Caenorhabditis elegans: one gene and its partner. The protein of the gene in region 1 interacts with the protein of each later gene in a biochemical or structural test. Each region holds a gene or a part of one and is shown on either strand. Other genes may lie near its edges. The genes, in order: sru-39 and dlg-1.

Evidence for each region.
Region 2: the proteins of sru-39 (region 1) and dlg-1 form a complex in vitro, tested with the Caenorhabditis elegans proteins (one study listed by BioGRID).

Annotation. Positions count from the first base shown.
Region 1 is NC_003283.11:9,799,389-9,807,504, reverse strand, and holds sru-39 (Serpentine Receptor, class T), read right to left. Parts: upstream 4,030-8,116; coding exon 3,589-4,029; intron 3,543-3,588; coding exon 3,384-3,542; intron 3,337-3,383; coding exon 3,233-3,336; intron 3,187-3,232; coding exon 2,898-3,186; downstream 1-2,897. Other genes in the region: sru-37 (Serpentine Receptor, class U), read right to left, coding at 905-1,205, 1,252-1,355, 1,401-1,556, 1,604-2,044; F46B6.10 (uncharacterized protein), read left to right, coding at 5,477-5,593, 5,669-5,790, 5,898-6,042.
Region 2 is NC_003284.9:5,475,825-5,488,204, forward strand, and holds dlg-1 (Disks large homolog 1), read left to right. Parts: upstream 1-3,875; 5' UTR 3,876-3,936; coding exon 3,937-3,958; intron 3,959-4,167; exon of another isoform or gene 4,168-4,278; intron 4,279-4,394; exon of another isoform or gene 4,395-4,672; intron 4,673-4,840; coding exon 4,841-5,157; intron 5,158-5,233; coding exon 5,234-5,452; intron 5,453-5,499; coding exon 5,500-5,596; intron 5,597-5,643; coding exon 5,644-5,734; intron 5,735-5,787; coding exon 5,788-6,139; intron 6,140-6,195; coding exon 6,196-6,502; intron 6,503-6,560; coding exon 6,561-7,029; intron 7,030-7,087; coding exon 7,088-7,611; intron 7,612-7,694; coding exon 7,695-7,977; intron 7,978-8,024; coding exon 8,025-8,146; intron 8,147-8,201; coding exon 8,202-8,302; 3' UTR 8,303-9,117; downstream 9,118-12,380. Other genes in the region: C25F6.1 (Condensin-2 complex subunit H2), read left to right, coding at 10,672-10,829, 11,424-11,553, 11,605-11,868. UniProt on the Caenorhabditis elegans protein: Essential multidomain scaffolding protein required for normal development. Recruits channels, receptors and signaling molecules to discrete plasma membrane domains in polarized cells. Required for proper embryonic elongation.

The DNA of each region.
Region 1 (8,116 bases):
GAAAACAGGGGGTCTGAAGAAATAAATTGCTTACGGATTTAGTTTTTAATTAAAGAGAATGTATCGGAAAAGTAGCAGGTTTTTGTTTTCAAGAAAACTTAAAATCCCAAAAAGTAAGGTAGTATGTTATTCAAATTTAAAATGATACCAACAACATATAAGATGATTTATAGGCACCTAATTAGATAATATTTTGCAAGAATTCAAAGCTTGTTAGTGAAAAAAAAAACCCGGCTTTAAAAATTCGGAATTACAAAGTTTTGTTTGAAAAAATGGAACTCCGAAAATGAAATATTTTTTTAAAACTTTTTTTTTAACTTCATAATCCTTTAAAAATATAAGTTTAATAATAGGTCAAATGGAAATAAAAACATTGTTAATATGGAATTTTTTAATTATGGTTACCCTACATTTTGTGTGTACATAAAAATCCAGTACGTGTTAGTGGCATTTCGTGAATTCAAAATCATGGCTGTACTGCTTCTAGAGATCATTAAAAATTTAAAAAAAACGTTGATTTTCAGCTGAATTGAAATATTGCCAATCGAATCACGAGACACATCTTTTAGGCTCACAGAAAAATAACGAAGAAAAAAGAAAAGAAATGTGCAGGTGAATTTGTTTTCAGTGACTATTAGATTCAATATATTGTTACCAATTTGAATCAACTTACACGATTTTAACGAAAATTTGACAATATTTTGAGAAAACGGTGAGTTCTGGAAATGATCACAACATACACATGATACCACAAAATAATGCTTTCCGGAAAGATAAACTTTTTTCTGTGAAAATTTTTTAATTTGATTATGAAAAGATTGCGACAAAAAAGTTCTATAAAATATCAATTTGTAAATTAGAAAATGTGTTTCACTCTCTTCAAAAAATTAAATATTTATTCAAATTAAAAATGTGCAGAGATGCTTCGTTTTGGACTAACATCACATACAACTTTGATATTATTTTTAGGTTGCTCTTTCTTTTTGAAAATGTGGTGGGTAAAATAAAAATAACATGATACAAAATGGGCCCGAGCATCTAAACAAATGCACCGAGAGAGAAAAATATAAGGATAAGCACTTGGTGCAAAAAGATTGACAAAGGATAGAGTTGCAGGTACCACGACTGGGAGAAGAATCAGAATCATTGTTGCTGTCAACACTTTTTCAGATTTTAGATCTGTTTTTCGGTGTAGCTCGGAACTTCTGAAATTTTAAAATTTTAACTTGAGCAAATGCAATTGACACTAACATTTTCCGTTTTTGCAAAAGTTTGAAGAACATCAAAATTGCAGTGACAATAATTAAAATAATCGAAGCGTTTGAAAACATTGAGTAGAATATTGTGTAAATTCTCTGAAAAATTTATAATTTAAGCGTTTTATCAAATCAAATGCTTACCATATCTCTTGTCAATGCCGTGATAACAATAGCTCCAAACGGAAAAGGTTTGTCCATTTGATAGCAGGAAGTTGTGGAAAAGAAATGAGGAATTCCGAAGCAATGACCAATTATTATAAGACTTGGAGCGATTATGTCAAACACCTTGGATATTGTCTAAATGTCTTTTTATTATTTTTAAAAATGGACCGTGCAAAACATACATCCTTTTGATACTCAGCAGCATACAAAAGTGCAACTCTTTGAACACAAAATGCCAGAGTCATTAAATGAGATGTATAAACAACTCCAATAAATAGTAAAGATAATATTTTAAGAATTAATACAGGTTTTGACTCTGCACAATACGCTGTGAAAATCGATGTCAATGGAATTCGAACAATTAAAAAATCAATGAAAACATGAAATTCTTTCCACAGTTGCATCAAAAGAAATATTCTAAAAACATCCGGTCTCAATACTTTTTTCATTTCGTTGCAATGTTTATGTTTCAAATAGAAAATACACATTTTCACAGTGATCCAAAACGAAAAAATACCGTAGATAGCTGTGACAGCAGCAAAAATAGTCAAAAAATTGAATGTGTATTCAAAATTGAAATATTCCGGTTGAAAATCGATCGCCTTAAATCCATAGACAGACATCTCAAAAATAGATCACCGAACAATAACACCAGGATAGAAAAGAATTGGGGAGGAATTGTTTTGGAGCCAATTCAAAAGTTAATTTACTGATTTTTGTGTTATTCTTTAACAAATATGGCATCAATAATCACCAAATAATATAACTCTAATTTATGGAGCAGACATAAATACTTTATGGAAAACTTGATTTAATTATGACTCATTTGAAAACTTCCAAAACAAAGAAATGACAAATCAAGCAAGAAGTGGGCATTGGGATCTTATACGCCTACACAGATATGATACTGAAAAAAGTATACAGGTTCCAAATTGTTTGTAGTTGCTTTAAAATTGATAATGAATAAATGTTCAAAGCAAGCAGTCTAGTGACTCTCGACTTTGATTTTACTTAACTTTGATTTTCAAATAGTCACGTTTGGTTATAATTGTTTCTTTGAATTTTCAAAAATTTGTTAGATGAAAAACCATGTATTCCAGGAGATCCTGAATGCTCACTCTACCTTTTGCAGCCAAAAGGCAAGACTTTCTGACTATCCTGCGAGTTTTCATGAAAATTTATTTTCCTTTAATGGTGTTCATTGAACAATATATATTACACGAATTGCGGTAAATTGCTTAGCAAGCAATGCGTTCCATGAAGTAAAGTTTTGAAACGTTTCCCCGAAAACTTAAAGAAAAAAATTGGACAACGTTTTTAACTTTTTCACTTCACTTTTTGTGATATGAATGCACTATAAAAACTAGTATCCAGAAAATTATTATCACATTAAAAACTTGTGCTTTGAAATTTTTGAACCCAAAAAAAATATTTTTTCATCCGAAAAAAGACAAATTCAAAATAATTTATTACACATTAAAAATATGTTGACACTGTTCGAATAGTGCTGTCGTTTCGAATTTTAGTACTACGGTTTTTCTTTTTAAAAATGTAATGCGTATAATAGAAATAACAAGAAACAATATGAGCTCGGACATCCAATGCAATGCAACGCAGGAGAAACATATAAGCATATAAATTTGAAGAAAAAAGATTTGCAATTGACAGAATTGATGGAACCACAACAGGGAGAAGAATTAGAATCATTGTAGCTGTTAATACTTTTTCTGATTTTAAATCTACTGGTCGGCGCAACTCGGAAGTTCTGGAAAAGTTTTGTGTAAAATTTATTATAAGGAATTTTAACTTACATCTTCCGTTTATGATACAGCTTTACAAACATCATGATTGTCAATATAATCGTCAGTGTTATATTTGTATTAGAAAAAATTGAGTAAATAATAGTGTAAGTTTTCTGAAAAAATACTTGCATTACGATTAACTTTTGGATTTTCTATGAACCACCATATCCCGGCGTAGAGCTGTGATTACAATTGCTCCAAATGGAAATGGTTCGTCCATTTGATAACAAGAGCTTGATGCAAAAAAGAACGGTATTCCAAAACCATGCCCAACAAATATAATGAGAGGGTTGACAATATCAAATATTTTTGCAATTTTCTGAAAATGAAATGAATTAACACTAGAGGTTCATGAGTTGACATACATCTTTGTGATATTCATGAGCATATAATAATGCAACTCTCTGAATGCAAAACGCAAGAGTTAATGAATGAGATGTATATACAACTCCTGTGAACATCAATGATAATATTTTTAAAAGTAGAACTGGCTTCGATTGATAGCAATAACTGGTAAATAATGATGTAAGTGGAATTCGAACTATCAGAAAATCCATCAAAACATGAAATTCTTTCCATACTTGCATCAAAAGAAACAATCGAAAAACATCAAGACGAAGTCCTCTTTTCACTTCTTCGTTATTTTTATTGTTCAAATAAAAAATGCACATTTTTAGTGTAATCCAAAACGAAAACAGTGTATATGTACAAGTGACTGCTGCGAAAACAGTCCAAACATTGAATGAATATGTAAAATTGGAATATTCAGTCTTATTATCAATTGGTATATGTCCATAAACAGACATGTTGGAAGTTATTCGAAGAATGAAAAGTGTGGTTGACGTATGTCTACTGAAAGTAGGCGCTTTAATTGCCAGCTATTCATAAAATTTCATTGAGCAGTACGTGTATTGGCAAAAGATCAATTTTTAAACTTGCATCTTTTATACTTACATATATACCGGATTATTTAGGTGCTAAGGTCATGTATTTCGGGAAATTCGTAGTACATGCGAAAGATGTGAAAAAGTGTAAAATAAGAAGTCTTGTCTGGTCTCCTGTTTCTGGAATGTGGATAATAGCAGAAAATGAGTGAAATTGAATTCACTTATAAGAATTAAAAGTGTTTACGCGTTTTTATTCAAGTGACGAATGATTGTTCCTGGTAAATGAAATTATGGACTAGCAAAGCAAGTATTTCAGCTGAATATTCGACAGCCAGTTGGAGCCTTCGATATTTGAAAGAAAACCTTAATAATTGGTGACCGCAAAAATTAACTGCAGAAGAGTTTGCTTTTTTGGAACATCGGAAAAAAAAGTTTTTCATCAGAATCAATTATTGTCGATTTTCGATTGCAAGATATTCTAAAAGATTAGCAACAGTTTGAGGTGTTTTCTAGAATTTTTATATTTCGAAAAAACCTAAATTTTTAAATAGAATTCGGCGAACAAAGTTTCAGATTTTTTCAACATAGCTCAAAACGCTCTTTCGCAGGTTTTTGGTAAGTGATTTCAATGGTTTTTCCTTCAAATAACTAGTTTTTTTCTGGATTTTCATGTTTAAACTAAAGTACTATTCTTGTTTAAAAAACATTTGGGTACAAATATATTGGTAAACTAATGCGACGCCCCAACAAATAATGTTTTTTCCTGCAGAGACAAACAAGTCTGCAAAAAATAAGTTTTTGGGTGCGTTGCTCTAATCTGCGAATCAAATGATTTTTAGTTTGAAGGAAATGCCAGTTGAGTAGAAAATTTCAGACGCAAAAGAAATGGGGAAAAATCGCATGAAAAAATTATACAAAATAAACTATCATATTTCTGACATCTTTCAATGCTTGAGCAAAACGAAAAGAATGATCAGTTGAACTTTTGTGGCCTTCTTGGTCTTCTTAGTCTGACCCAAGTTTGGTTTCTTTCCGCTTGAATTCAGCATTTTCACTTTTTCGATATTGTTTCATTCACAACTTGATGAAGAGTGGTACGAATTAATTATTCTAATGATCAAAAATTGAATTTCTCAGAACTTCTGGAATGTAAATATTTTACGAAAAAAATTATTCTTTTAATGATTGAAAAAATAATTCGCGTAGACATCTGGTCTCTATTTTTTTTTAACTTTGAATCGCGTTTTTCTAAAGTTTGTTTACCGCTAATTAGAACAACGTTTAAAAATGATAAGGTCAATTTATACTAGAAAAATTATTTCTACTTTCTTCATCTGGTCAAGCATACAATTCAACTGTCAACATAATGATCATTATAATTGTTATTTCGATGCTTTTTGCAATATCATGTAATAGCTTTCTCGTTTTTTGTGCAAAATTGAAGAAGGACAAGAAGGCTACTTTAGAGGAAGTCACTCCACGGGTAATTCAATATTGTTTCATAGTTTAGAACTTGAACTTCGCAATTGAATAATTGATAATACCATCCAAATTTCAGGGAACCACACCGCTACCGCAATGTTCAAGACAATCGAGGATTGTTGACAGGGATGACAGAGGTTCAACAAAAACGAAAGGAGGTCGGAGAGGAGTCAAAAGCAGTAAAGAACCAGATTCCACGTGAGTTTTCTGCATTTTTGGGGTGATTGGATAGGCATAAAATGTTGTCACAACTTGTTTTTCTTTCGACTTTACTTGAAATAATTTTTTTAAAGATCATTTTTCAGGGATGATGCTTTCAAAGAAATGGCAAAGCGTTTAGCGAAGAAGGATAAACCTGAGAAAACTGGAGATTCAATTGTTGGAGATGACGACGAAAACCCTCTTGCACAGTTCCAGATGCCTGAACGACCAGTTGTCCCACCAAATTAGGATGGTGCAACATTGGAGAACATTGTTGAGATGGAGAAGAAGCCTGTCTCAAAACAACCAACGATTCGAGCTGTAACTCCATCAGGTGGCCCGAAGACTGCACAGGCGATTTCAGTTGCTCAACCGCCTCCTATTCTTCAAAAGTCCCAGAAATCCATTATCCCCAAGAAAGAAAAAACAATAACCACTGATAAGACGCAATCTGATCCACGTGCCAGAGAGATTGAGAGCACTCAGCATGTGACCAATATGACACTTGAAGATGCAATCGATACTGGGAAAAACGAAAAGGAACCTGCAAAATCCGTGGTAATTTTTTTTAACTGTAAAAGTAGTATACAGTGCGTGCAACTTCTATAGCGCCCCCTATTTTTTTCGTGTTTCGTCACTTTCCCAAACTTTTTTGAGAAAACCATTATAGCCATTCGATTTTAAATGTCAAAAAACCCCCTGCCCGAAATTTTCATGAAAAAATATCAAAGACTACGGTAATTAGGTCAAAAAGTCTGAAAAACGACCGTGCAACTTCTATAGCGCTCCCTCGAATTTTCGCTATTTTTCAATAAAATACCTAGTTTTATGAGATTTCTGAAAAGGATATAGTATTATATATTAAGAAAAATGATCATAAGGTTTCATTTTTCAATTTTCAACAGAAATATATTACGTGAAAACTTCTGGGATCCCAAGAGTGGCCTGAAACGCTTCACTTTGCGTTAGTGGCCAGTTCTCGGCTACCACTGCATGTATTGATACGAAACTTGACCGAAATTTTCATTTTGATTTACTGATAATGTTTCAATAAGTTGTCATAAAATTTGGTCAATATGGGCCAGGTTGACAGACCAAGTTAATAGTAAGTCTAGTAACCAATCAGTTGTTCTATCGATAAAACACATCTGAGGCATGTCAGAGAATGGATGTGCGTCTTTTCTGGTAGACAAGATATCCATTCAATTAACTATTTAAAACAAATTTTGTCCGGATCGAAAAATGTTGGAAAATGATCGGTAAAATTCGAGAAATATCCCTCAAACAAATTAACATGTGCAGAAACACTGGGCGGGTCTGTTTCCCGTGGTTCCGCGCGTTTCATTCGAGATCGAACGACAAAAGAACTGTCGAAGTGTTCAGAGGGGTCACAGAACTTGCATCCGAACTTAATATTTCAAAGTGTTTGTTAAAAACTAAAAATTCACCCAAAAACCTGCGGGCAGTGAACTTGCCCAGTTTTGATGTATGTGCAATTTTTTTAAAGGAGATCTCCTGCATTGGACCAATCATTTTTCAAAAGTTTTTTGTTCGAATAACACTTATAAAAATTTCAACAATGAATATGAAGCTTTTCTACTAGAAATGAACCGCGTCCAATCTCTGGCACGTCGCAAAATTCTGTTCTAGAGAGAAAAACTGATTTCCTCACAATGAGCAGCGCTATCTACCTTACCTATCTCTACCGAATTTAATATCAACCTTTCAAAATATCTTTAGTGAACAAAATTAAATTATTAGTTCAAGTTTCGTAATGAATGCTTTTTTCTTAATATATAATACTATATCCTTTTCAGAAATCTCATAAAACTAGGTATTTTATTGAAAAATAGCGAAAATTCGAGGGAGCGCTATAGAAGTTGCACGGTCGTTTTTCAGACTTTTTGGCCTAATTACCGTAGTCTTTGATATTCTTTCATGAAAATTTCGGACAGGGGGTTTTTTGACATTTGAAATCGAATGGATATAATGGTTTTCTCAAAAAAGTTTGGGAAAGTGACGAAACACGAAAAAAATAGGGGGCGCTATAGAAGTTGCACGCACTGTAGTTTTGATTTCCATCTAGCTTTTTTTATATTTCAGAGAAAAGATCTTGTTTTCTCGACGAAAAAACTGAAAAAGGATGTGAGTTTAACATTGTTGCCTTCAAAATTTGAAATTTAATTTCAGAAATCGAGAAAAAGTAAGAAGGGCACATAATCTCACTGCTTCACCATTTTCAATGTCAATAAAGTTTTATTTCTGAATTATTTGTAATTGTATTTTGCAAAAGAGTGACGTCATTCGATGTACTGAAAATGTT
Region 2 (12,380 bases), on another chromosome or scaffold:
CCACATAATTTCATGGTCCAACAAGCTCCTCCTGTTGCTAGGTAACGTCAAATTTGAATTCACAGTTTACCAAACTAGTCAAATAACTAGATTAAGACATATTTAATGAGTATAGACATTTATGTTTCAGAAAAAAATGTTTTTAACCCACCTTACTAACAAAATCGGAAAATTCCGGAGATCCAAGTAAATTATTATAGTTTCAATAAAGTTTCAACTTTTGAGTTTCTTGTCAATTTAGCACATTTTGATAAAATTTAATGTTTCTTCCGAAAACATACTTTTGGAACTAAATTTTAACAAAGTGTTTGAGGAGGTTTAACGTTTCAATCCGGAAACTAAAAACAAGTCAGCTGTTGGGGGTAAGTATAAATTGATTATTTTTGTGATGCAAGAAAACATGAGTGCAACTGAGCTTCTCTTCTTCTTCTAAATTTTACATTGAAAGTATATTTAACTCAATATTTCTACATTGAATTAGATATTTCAGACAAAAGCTAGACTTTCTGTGTTTTAAATGAAAATTGAAGCTGAGTTAAAAGTTTGAAATTTTTCAGTCAATATTCCAACTTCCATTTATTTATTATTCCAATTTTTCAATTTAATTATAATTTTTTCCAATTCAAATAGCAAAAAAACGCATCTCTTGTTATCTGTCGCTGCCAATGTTTCCCTCATGTTTTAATGATTAGTCGGGGTGGCTCTGTGTTGGCTCTCCGCACATGCCTGCCAGAACAGATAAGAGGTGATTGTAAGTCGGCCGTCGCGGGGGCTCTTAAAGCAACAACTAACGTCTGGCGCGTTTGAAAATGAGGACCGAGTGACCGGTCTATATGTTTTATTCAAATAAAACAATGGGCCGCATAATCCGCATGTTTTGTCCTTCTTCTTCTTCTTGATTTCGCACTCCGGGGCACAGTCGCTTCTCTTGCATAATTTTAGTGAGTGGGCGCCCCCTTGTTAGTGATCTCAAAAACCATGTCCTTGAAACATCTTCGGATTATCTAATCCTTTTTCTCTCTGCTGCGTTATATCTAAACCCTCTTGATGTTTCAGTTAATAATATTTTAATTAATTGACTCTTACAACTTTTCCTTTCACAAATCTAAATAAAACCCCTTCACTTTTTTCTCACATATTCCAAATGATTAGTCTAGGAAGTGCAAAGACCTGAAACCCCCTGCTGTTTTCGCGAATGATCTCCATTTTAGGAATGAGGGCGCAAAACTATTTGTCAGCTTAGAAAGTCCCCCACAGAGAATGAAAGATGCATAAGCATTTTCGTCTCTTCTTCTCCACGCACCAGCGCCTATGTCGGTCGTTATACAGTGAATACTATTCTATCTACATCTTACCCTCTATATTTTCACACGTTTTACATGTTATCAATAGAGCCGACTTGTCATGCACATCATGCATATACATATATAATTTTCTCTTCCCTTCTTTCCTTCATTGTATCAAGTGTGTCATTTTGAAAGAAAAAATCATTTTGAAAGGTAAGAGTTGCCAGTCTCATTAGTATAAAATGGTTGACTCATTTCCGTTTCTAATGACACTTGATCTCCAACACTGTGTCGCATTTTCATCGTACTGATTGTTTGTCATGATAATATTTGTTGAGAAACTATTATCTTGCGGCAGCCAAAACCAGCACCCTTGCTTTTCCGCTCCTTTTCCTTCTGCTTCTTCTTCTTATTCTGCTTCTTCGTATTGAGGGGCCTCCGATTTTATGGCCATTACAAGCAAAACCACGACGCTCACATATAAGCAGTGAGATGGCCGTTCGATTCTCATACCGTTCGTTTTCTCGTTTCCTCGTTTTTATCAATCGATTTGCAGTGATTTTTTACCTGGCTCTTCTTTTTTTTCCTCTCTCACTGCGTTTTCCCAATGTGTCCCATGATCGGTTGTTGATTCGATTCAGTTCTGTATTTGTCTATCTATCGATGTTCTAACATTCTAGTTGCACTGTTACTTCTATGGAATGTATTAGTGTGTTTCCCTTTTTTACTAAACATCTGTACATTGTTGTTTAGATGTCGTGAGATCGCAAGTGTATGTTTTTTTGGAAACTTTATGAACTCTTTTGTACGGTTATTTTTGTGCAATATATGAGTCACTTTGCAAACATTCTTTGATGCTGATATTTTTATCAGTAATAATAAAATCAAGAAACTAAGGTATGGGTATATTTTAGACGTTTTGTGTTCCCATTTTAGTCATAAAATCCCAAAAGTACATAAAATCGCTACAGTCAAGGCGCACTAAAAAAACCTTTTTAAAAAAATAGAAAAAAATATGACTTTTTTAATTCCATATTTCGAAATAGTAGTAGAGTATTCGCCTCGCCACAACTTTTTTGGCGCATTTGTTCCCGGCATGTTTTTGGTACAATAGACGACGTTCGCTATCTTCTTCCCGCATGTCGTGACTAATGTCCCGTTGGCTTGTACATGTTGAATATAATTTCACACACACACACACACACACACACAGCGTGACGCATAAGTTAGTGTTGTTTTTTCTATGCTGGCCGGGTCTGTTCCACTTCTCATCTTGACCATTTATGTTTCGACACTGTGATTTGTTTCAAGTCGACTTGTTCCTGTTTTTTGTTCAGTTCTTTGGAAATCAAGTGGCTATTGAAATATATTTTTTGTGAACTCAAATTTGCAGACGTGTCTGTGACCATTAATTTCAAACTATACAATTTTATGGCATTATTTTCTAATAAAACCCCCATTTTGTTTAGATAAAATTGTTAGTGTTCTAATGAAACATACATTTTAGAGCGAAGATAATTTTAACTATTTAACTTAAAGAGACGTGATGGGGTGGTAACAATTTAAAATTTCTGGCTTGTATATATTTTTGGCATCTGTGATAAAGACAAATTGTAGGAATATGTTAATTTAAATAAACTTAATCCAAAATTTTTGGATTTATTTTTCAGGACTCATTATGAAACCTTCCAGGGAGCCAAAACCCTCCGAACTTAATCTCCTTTATTTAAATTCAGAATTTTACAAAATATCCAAAGATAAAAATACCTAATAATAGTTTACTAATTTTTGAATTAGATGACAACCTTTCAAAACAATCGACTCCCCGCTCCTCCTACCAGGTCCCTCTCCGATGGTGCGGTTTGTCGCCTCGCGTCTATAATAAAACCACCGGCGGAGGTGGTTGGTGTCCAATAAACGTTGAAGACCCCCACCGTTTATACCCAAACGCCCTTCTTTTTTACCTCTTCTTCTACTCAAGCATATCTATCAGATCTCTCACACACAGTCTTCCCTTCTGGTAGATACTAATCTAGAGTAAGATGCGACCCGCCCGGAGGAAGACGAGAGGAATATTTATATTTTTCCCCCTCATCCAACCTACTGAATCATACCAATAGTTGGTGGGAATTGCCGAACAAAAAATAAACATATCCATGACTCGACACAAGTGAAATGCGAAACCTAGCGTCTTCCATCTTCTATGTACGGGATATCCTTCTATTTTTCTATCCACGATGGATTATGATTTATGAATCTTCCTAGATTTTTCAAAAAATTTCATTTACTCCTTCCCCTGCTCGTTTTGCTCTGCATCTTGTTTCTATTATTTACATCAAGTTCGCTAAAACAAACTCAATGGCGGCCTGCTTGTGTGTATGTGTGTGTGTGTGTGCGTGTGTTTGCCGTAAATTCTTGTTTCTTTCTGATAAGTTATGTCTTATCGCCGCACAGTTTTTCCTTTTCGTCTTCAATGCCTCCTTCTTACCGAGCTCTGTTTTTAGATTATTAGAAGCATTAAAACCAGTCGTCTATTTCTATTTTCAGTCTCAAAAACTTGTTGATCAATTTAATTTTTTCAATTTTCAGCGACCAGCATCGAAAGAAAACCGATCGGAGTGGGAAGAACGCCTCACCGAAGGAAGGAAGCATGTCCCACGAGTCATCGGAAAGTGAGTTCTAGACATTTAAGTTTCAAACTGTTTCTATTTTGCAAAACGTTCAATGTCCACTAATCTCAATTGTTTGCCACAGTTTTCTCCTAACCAATTATCACCGAACCCATTTCCTACGGTCGCCGTGGTCGTTAAACTCAATGTCACAATGACCAGAATTAGCCAAGGCAACACACCAACTTATGTACATTCTTGCGTTTTCTACGCTCCCCCTTTCCCTGCCTTCTTATGACTTCAATGCGATGATCGCATCTCAACAGTCTTCTTATCACCTCGAAACTGCCAAATACGGCCACCCCGCCTCATGAGGTATTGTGGTGTTGACACTTACACATTTCGATACACATACACATATACGTAATAATTTTGCTATATACGTTTTCGAAAAGTTCACACTACTCGGAGCCTCCTCCTCCTCCCCGCCAGGTGAATGCTTTCTGGCGCGCATGATGGTGAGGATGCGTCTCTGAATGTGCAAACATTATATTTGTATAAGAAGGCGAAGAAGACGCAGTGGGAGGAATAGAAGGCAAAAAGAAAGAGGGCAAAGAGAAAACAATCTGTTTGTGATGGTGTGTGTACGTGTCCGACAGTCCAACCAGGAGTCTCCCCTTTATTCATCGGAGACATCTTTCCGGGGCCAGTCTTGTACATTCCGAAGGGAAAGGGGAGAAAGGAGGGAAAACGAGGGAGATTGCGCATCCTCGCAGGGTGACTCATCGTTATTTGCCGGGATGGGAAAGAAAGCGCATGATAACCTTTTTTGTTGACCATGTTTTGCCGCAAAATGAGTCATCAACCTAGACTTGTTACACTTTGCGACTTGGGATGTGCATAATCCTACAACAATTATAACTGAACATGAAACTGTATTTTCAGAAGCGCATAAAGCGATAGAAAATGTGGAGGACTACTGCCAGACACTGACAAGACACGGCAATGAGGAGCTACGCACAAACCTGGAACGAGTTATCACCACATTCAAATCAAACCTGATGCATTCGTTGCTCGACATTCACGATCTGTACGAGCAGACGCTGCTCAGCGAGCGAAAATCAGATGCAGAGAAAAATATGGAAGTAAGGCGTGTGATTGAGCGACTCGAAGGTGGACCACACTCCTACAACAGTCGTCCGGCTGCGACGACTTCCACGTCGAACTACAACCTTTCAAGCACAACTCCACTTATTTCAGATGTAAGCTCTGCTTTCTTTTTTTCTCTGGATTTGGATTCTAGATTTTTTTAATACTTTATAAAAAAAATTATTTTAGCTGAGAGATCGGGGAGGTTTCTCGTATTTGAACGGCGGAGGCCTTGGAAACGGGCTTGGGAATGGACTTGGAAACGGACTTCTGTCTTCTCCGTACAACTCATCCAGCACTCACTACCTTCATGAGCGTCAACGTCAGACCAGTCATGATGGAACATGGCGGGAAACAACCACAAGAACAGTTGACACTCCAAGTGGTCTTGAAAGACGTGTGGTTGAAGTAAGATAATTTTGGCTCAATATTAGTTTTAATTATCATATATTCAGCATACTGGAGTTATCGATGATCATGGTCGTAAATGGGAGCTTGAGAATATTGTCTTGGAGAAAGGTCACACCGGCCTTGGATTCTCGATTACTGGAGGTATGCGCGTTCAACCGGTATTTATGATGTAACATATCTGATTATAGGTATGGACCAACCAACAGAAGACGGAGATACTTCTATCTATGTCACCAATATTATTGAAGGAGGTGCCGCACTTGCTGATGGGCGTATGAGGTAAAAAACCGCAATTTAAGATGAACAGAACTTTATGGTCATGTTTTTTTTAGAAAGAATGATATTATCACTGCAGTCAACAATACAAACTGTGAAAATGTGAAGCATGAGGTTGCAGTCAACGCATTGAAAAGCTCCGGAAACGTTGTTTCGTTGAGTTTGAAACGGCGTAAAGATGAAGCCTTTCTTCCAATTGGAGGAAACTTTGGCGGGTCGACTTCTTACCTCAGATCAGGAGTCACTCCATCAGTGAGCGCCGGCAACTTGCAACACGCAATTCATTCTCCATCGGCTCCGATTCATCCACCACCGCCACCACCAGTTCATCACGGATCATTGAGCCAATTATCTGTTGGCCAATATCGTTCCACACGACCGAATACATCCGTCATTGATCTGGTTAAGGTTGGCGACATTTTCTCTTTCCAAAGTACAAAAGAATCTATGTGAACTTTTTTTAGGGAGCACGTGGACTTGGTTTCTCTATTGCTGGTGGTCAAGGAAACGAGCACGTTAAAGGAGATACCGATATCTATGTGACGAAAATCATTGAGGAGGGAGCAGCTGAATTAGACGGAAGATTAAGAGTCGGAGATAAGATTCTTGAAGTTGATCATCACTCTTTGATTAACACGACTCATGAAAATGCGGTCAATGTTCTCAAAAACACTGGAAATCGTGTTCGACTTCTTATTCAGCAAGGAACTGGGGCAATTTTCAATGACTCGGCGAGCCAACAATTCATGCCAACTACCCCAATTCTCAGACGTAAGACAATCCCAAGAATCAAAAATAATAATATAGTTTCTAATTAATTTCATTTCAGCTAGCTCCGTTCAAGACTACAACCGCTCTCAAATGGGATCTCAAAGTCATTTGTCTTACGGAGGACCACTGAACACCAGCTACAGTTCACAAGCCCCCATCGCAATTCCACTCGAACCCCGTCCAGTACAACTTGTAAAGGGCCAAAATGGACTTGGATTCAACATTGTTGGCGGAGAAGACAATGAGCCCATCTACATCAGTTTTGTTCTCCCAGGAGGTGTTGCTGATCTTAGTGGAAACGTGAAGACTGGAGACGTTCTTCTTGAAGTGAACGGAGTTGTTTTGAGAAATGCAACCCATAAGGAAGCAGCTGAAGCATTGAGAAACGCTGGAAATCCCGTTTATCTCACTCTTCAGTACAGACCACAAGAGTATCAAATTTTTGAGTCCAAAATTGAGAAGCTGAGAAACGACGTGATTGCTCAATCTAGAATGGGAACTTTGAGCAGAAAGTCTGAATATGTTAGGTAAGAAGATTTGTTTACTTATAAATGTATACATATATCAACGAATAACATCTTTCAGAGCACTTTTCGATTATGATCCATCACGTGAAAACTCTGTTGCTCCCCATAGATCAATGGGATTTAACTATGGTGACATCCTACATATCATCAACTCATCTGACGATGAATGGTGGACAGCTAGAAAAGTTCACGAAAACGGAGAAGAAACAGCTGAAGGAGTGATTCCATCAAAGAAACGTGTCGAGAAGAGAGAACGACTTCGTCGGAAGCAAGTCAACTTCAACTCGGGATCGCAGTCTCTTGGAAGAAACTCGAGCACTACTGGATTGGAAAACCGAAGAGGAAGCCGCAGTCAGCTTTCCTTCTCCAGAAAGTTCCCATTCGTCAAAAGTACCGACCGGCTCAACGATCTTAATGAGGAATCCTCAAATGTAGCTGAAGAGCCAGTGTGGTCCTACCAGGCAGTTGAGCAACAGGCGATCAACTACGTTCGTCCAGTGATCATTCTTGGAGCTCTCAAAGACCGAATCAACGATGAACTTGTCAACCGCGACCCTTCGAAATTCAGTAGCTGCGTTCCACGTAAGTTGTGAAGTTATTAACTACTTTAAAAAAGAGAACATTTCTAAATAGTATGTGCAATATACTCATAATACCCTTTTCAGACACTTCCCGACCACCACGCGAGGGAGAGGTTAACGGACGTGACTACTACTTTGTCAACAAGCACAATATGGAGGAAGATGTCAAGAATAATCTCTTCATTGAAGCGGGACAATTCCAAAACAATCTCTACGGAACTAGCATTCAAAGCGTCCGAGATGTCGCCAACCAAGGAAGACACTGTATTCTGGACGTCAGTGGAAATGCTATCCGACGACTTCAAAGCAATGCCAATATTCAACCAATCTCGATCTTCATCAAGCCCAGCTCTGCACAACAGATTCTGTAAGTTAAATTGTAAAAAGAAGCTTTATCAATCTGCAAAATTTCAGTGAATTGGACAGCCAACTTGCCACCAACCGACAAGACGATCGAGCGATGAGTGGCGAAGAAGCTCAAGCGCAGTATTCCAGATGTCATAGAATTGAGCAAACTTTCGGGGATTTGTTCACGCGTATGTCTTTTTTCCAACCATTATTATCAAATATCTGATTTTTTATTTATTTCAGAAGAAATCTCAAATGTGCACAGCGCGAATGACGTTTTGAGCAAAGTGTACTCCATCATCAGCCGTGAATCGCAGACGCCAATTTGGGTGCCACGTCATTAGATGAAATTGGATATTTTTTAGACAAATAATCGTTTCTTCAAGAAATATGTCTTCTTGAAATTAATTAATATACAGTTTAATTTACCTTAATAATTAGACTACGCCGTGTTGTGATACTTTTTTTTAATCTGAGAAAAGTGATCCTTTGAAAAAACTCTTGATGTCATTTGCTTTATCCTGTTTCCATCCCCATCTTTATTTGTATTTTGTTTAGTACCCCTTCCCTATTATGCATTAATTTACATGACCTTTCCAAGTTCTCAATTCAAGAAACTCTACTACTCGAACTCAGAAACGTGAAAGGCCAATATTTCAATAGTTTTCTGATTCTTTTTTTCTTTTACCTTGCTCATTATTTTCATTTTCAATCATAACTCTCCACAATCACTGCCAGAAAACGGTGAATCGTTTCTACTTTTGTCTCCGAATATTTTACTACGATAGTTTGTACTGCCTGTTTTCTCTACAGCCCATTTTATCTTGAAATTCACCTTACAAATACTTGCATTTTATAATCCGCCCCAGCTTTCCTTCCTTCTTCCCTCTCCTTCCTCCCCCAACTCAATTCACTTCTTACTTGAAATTGTGACAGTTTGTGATATTCTCAACGCTTCATTTGTCTCTACTAACCGCAAATCATTATCATATTCCCGACTCTCTACTGATGAAAAACTTCGGCTCATTTCTATTTTTTGGGACTTTTATTACTCTGAGAGCATTTTATTTTCATCCATTGGTTCCAAACTTTTTTTTTTTAATTATTTTTAAAAACTTTTTATACAAATTATCTTGAATAAAGATTTTATTGCATCTGCAAAACATACATGTGTTGAAGTAACAAGAAAAAACTTTATTTTCAGTATATCAGGGTGTTCTGAAAATGACTGCGGCAATTTGTCATTAAAAATATTCATTTTATTAGATCGCTGGAAAAATTCCGAAACAAAAGGATTTGAAGTACTCTTCAGAATCCGTTTCGAAATGTGCTTCCGTAGCGCAGTAGGCAGCGCGTCAGTCTCATAATCTGAAGGTCGTGAGTTCGAGCCTCACCGGGAGCAATCTTTTTTGCCTAATATATTTCTTCGACTGAAATATTGTTCCTGATATTTTATTAGTCTTTCAATTAACGAAAAAAACATGTATTTTAAACGCAAAATAAGATTAGAATGATTTTAAAATATCAATAATATTTTAATTACTGACTATGAGTTAAATTTGAGATTTTTCAACTAGACTATTTACAGTTGTGATATTTTCAAATCCCTGTCCCACTTGGGATCTCAGTTTTTGCATCCTTTCTCAAGTCCTTTGTGAAGAGTTCACAACGTGCTTCCGTAGCGCAGTAGGCAGCGCGTCAGTCTCATAATCTGAAGGTCGTGAGTTCGAGCCTCACCGGGAGCAATTTTTTTTTTGAAGTTTTCCCAAGTAGCATAAGTTGCCATGAAGAAAACTGTAATTTTAATTTAATTTTTAATTTAACTGTTTAAATTCATTTTTTAATTTGAGTCAAAGCTAGCAATTTATTTTATCTCACATTTTGTTAATTTGAAACACAGACTGGCTCGAATTTAAGAACATTTTTTTATTCTTTTGATCCTACTTTGCAGACGTTGTTCAGTGCTTCCGTAGCGCAGTAGGCAGCGCGTCAGTCTCATAATCTGAAGGTCGTGAGTTCGAGCCTCACCGGGAGCAATCTTTTTTATTTTATTGATATCTTGATTTTAAATTTATGAATGTTTATAATTGTAGAATAGTTCCTCATTTTCTCATTTTTAATTTATTTTTACATAGCAAAGTTACTTGTTTTACTCTTTTCTGCCTCATTAAATGTGTTTCATTGTTTTTATGTTCACGCTTTAATTTTTCTGTAACAATAGTATGATATCGCTTACGGTTTAAATAACTTTAAAAGATTTCAGTTCTACCATAGTACCATTGAGATAAAATAAAGGGTAAAATAATTGAGCTAGGTCATGTCAGTGACCCCCTTTCATGCAATTTTTCGTGTGCGCGCACAAAACGCGTCAATAGGATGGTTGACGTCTTTTCCGTGTGAACGTGCGTGCTTTATGAACGTATTAAAGTTTATCGGATATTCTTAACTAGTTTCTCACAAATTTGTTTGCATTCCCAACTTGTATGACGGTTCTTTATTTTTTATTATTCGTTTTTTTTTTTTTGGAAAATGAGACAGTTAATTTTATTCTATTGTAATGTTTGTTTACTGGTTTACTAACTGAATTTCTTAGTGAAAATAATGTTTAATAAAAAGTTAAAATGAATAATGAATATCTCAAAATAATATAGTAGTTGTGTATATCTTCTTTGAATTCGTAAATACCTTCAAAAACAAATTTCCCAGATCAACCATGGCAAAAATGAAAATGACACAAGAGGAACTAGTGCAAGCATTTAATCAATACATGCCAAAACGACCGGTTTATCCTCCACTGGTTCACGATGATGACGTGCTCGCACATTCCGCCACAGAGTCGGAAGGAAGTGACGAAGAAGAGGATGATTTGACGTAATGTTTTATTTAGCTCATAATCCTTTAATAATAATTGTTCTGAACGTTCAAGAAATTTTCTAATTCCAAAATAACCAGTATGTGGAAGTATGTCCAAAATTGTGGTCCAAAAATGTGATATTAAATTTTCACTCTGTTAAAAATATTTGAACAAAAATTTATATGCGGTTGCAGGGAAAAAACAAAAATGTTTTTAAATAAAAAAAACTTTGGAAATGTTATATCCAAAAGGATGTTATAATAATACTTCAAACATTTTTAGGCTTCACAATGTGTTCAGTTAAAGTTTTTTAAACCAAAATTCTAAAAAAGGCTTCTTGAACAAGCTTTAAATGGCTCCCATCAAAAAATTAGTGGGATAAGAGCAGTTTTAACCAGAAAACGTTCATTGTATTATTTCACCAAGGCTAGACAGAAATTTTAAATTTTATTTGAAAACTTTGAAAAAGAAAATTTTAACTGTCATTTTTTGACCAAGTTTACATTCTTTAGTTGAAAAACGAAAAAAGAGGTGTTTTCCCAGAAATTTTTTCTAAACCATTTTGTATTGGAACTTGCCTACTTACACTAAAACAAACTTTATATTTTCAGAAAGCGATTGAAAGTGACTTTGGCATTTTCAACAGACATGATGTCAGAATGCCGCACAGCCTGGGAAGACTCAACTTGTAAACCACCGATTCAGTATCTCGAGGACAATATTCAAAAAGATGTTGAATATGTATGGTTAAAATATCATAAATAAAATACCATATCATTTTTCGATTTTCAGATACTCGAGAAACTGGTCAATCTGAAAATCAAGCCCAACAATCCAATTGAATGGCTTGGATACTGTCTTTTGAACATGAACATCAATGATCCTCGAAAATCAAAAGATCACAAAAATAAACCATCGGAATTGTTGCGAGACTTTAAAATCGAAGCGCTTGTCAATATGGTATGGAATATGGAGGAAGGTGGCTCAGGAAGCATTTCTACTTTGCACAAGCAGGCACCTAGTCCAACAGCTGGAAAACGAAGGAATCCTTCTTGATTTTGTAACGAAAATTAACAATTCACAAATAGGTGTCTAAAACTATACCCCATCAACTTGTTATGAACAAGAATTCCAGAAATTATCATTTTCGTTTTTTTTTGTTGTAAAATCTGAACATAACCATTCTTTCACAATCATTCACTTTTTATACTTTTTTCTTGTCCCGTGCATTACTCGCATCAAAATTCCTAGTCATCTTGAACTTTTGGAATTTATGTCCAGATTCCATTCCAAGTCTGGTGCATGTGCTTGGTTTTTTCCCCAAATTTTCATTTTGTGACCGTTTCCACAAACTGGTTATCTTTGCAACTTGCAAATCCGCCATTCCTCTGTGCATTGCACTCTTCTGTGCATAAATATGTGTATCTATTTATCAATTTGAATAATGAACTTTTCCAGAAATTGTTACAGAAATTCCTGAAATATGTTTGAAATGGCAAGGCATTGTAATTGATTAAAGGCACAGTATCATCTGTGAGTTTTTAGTCTATTTAAACAAAATATTTACT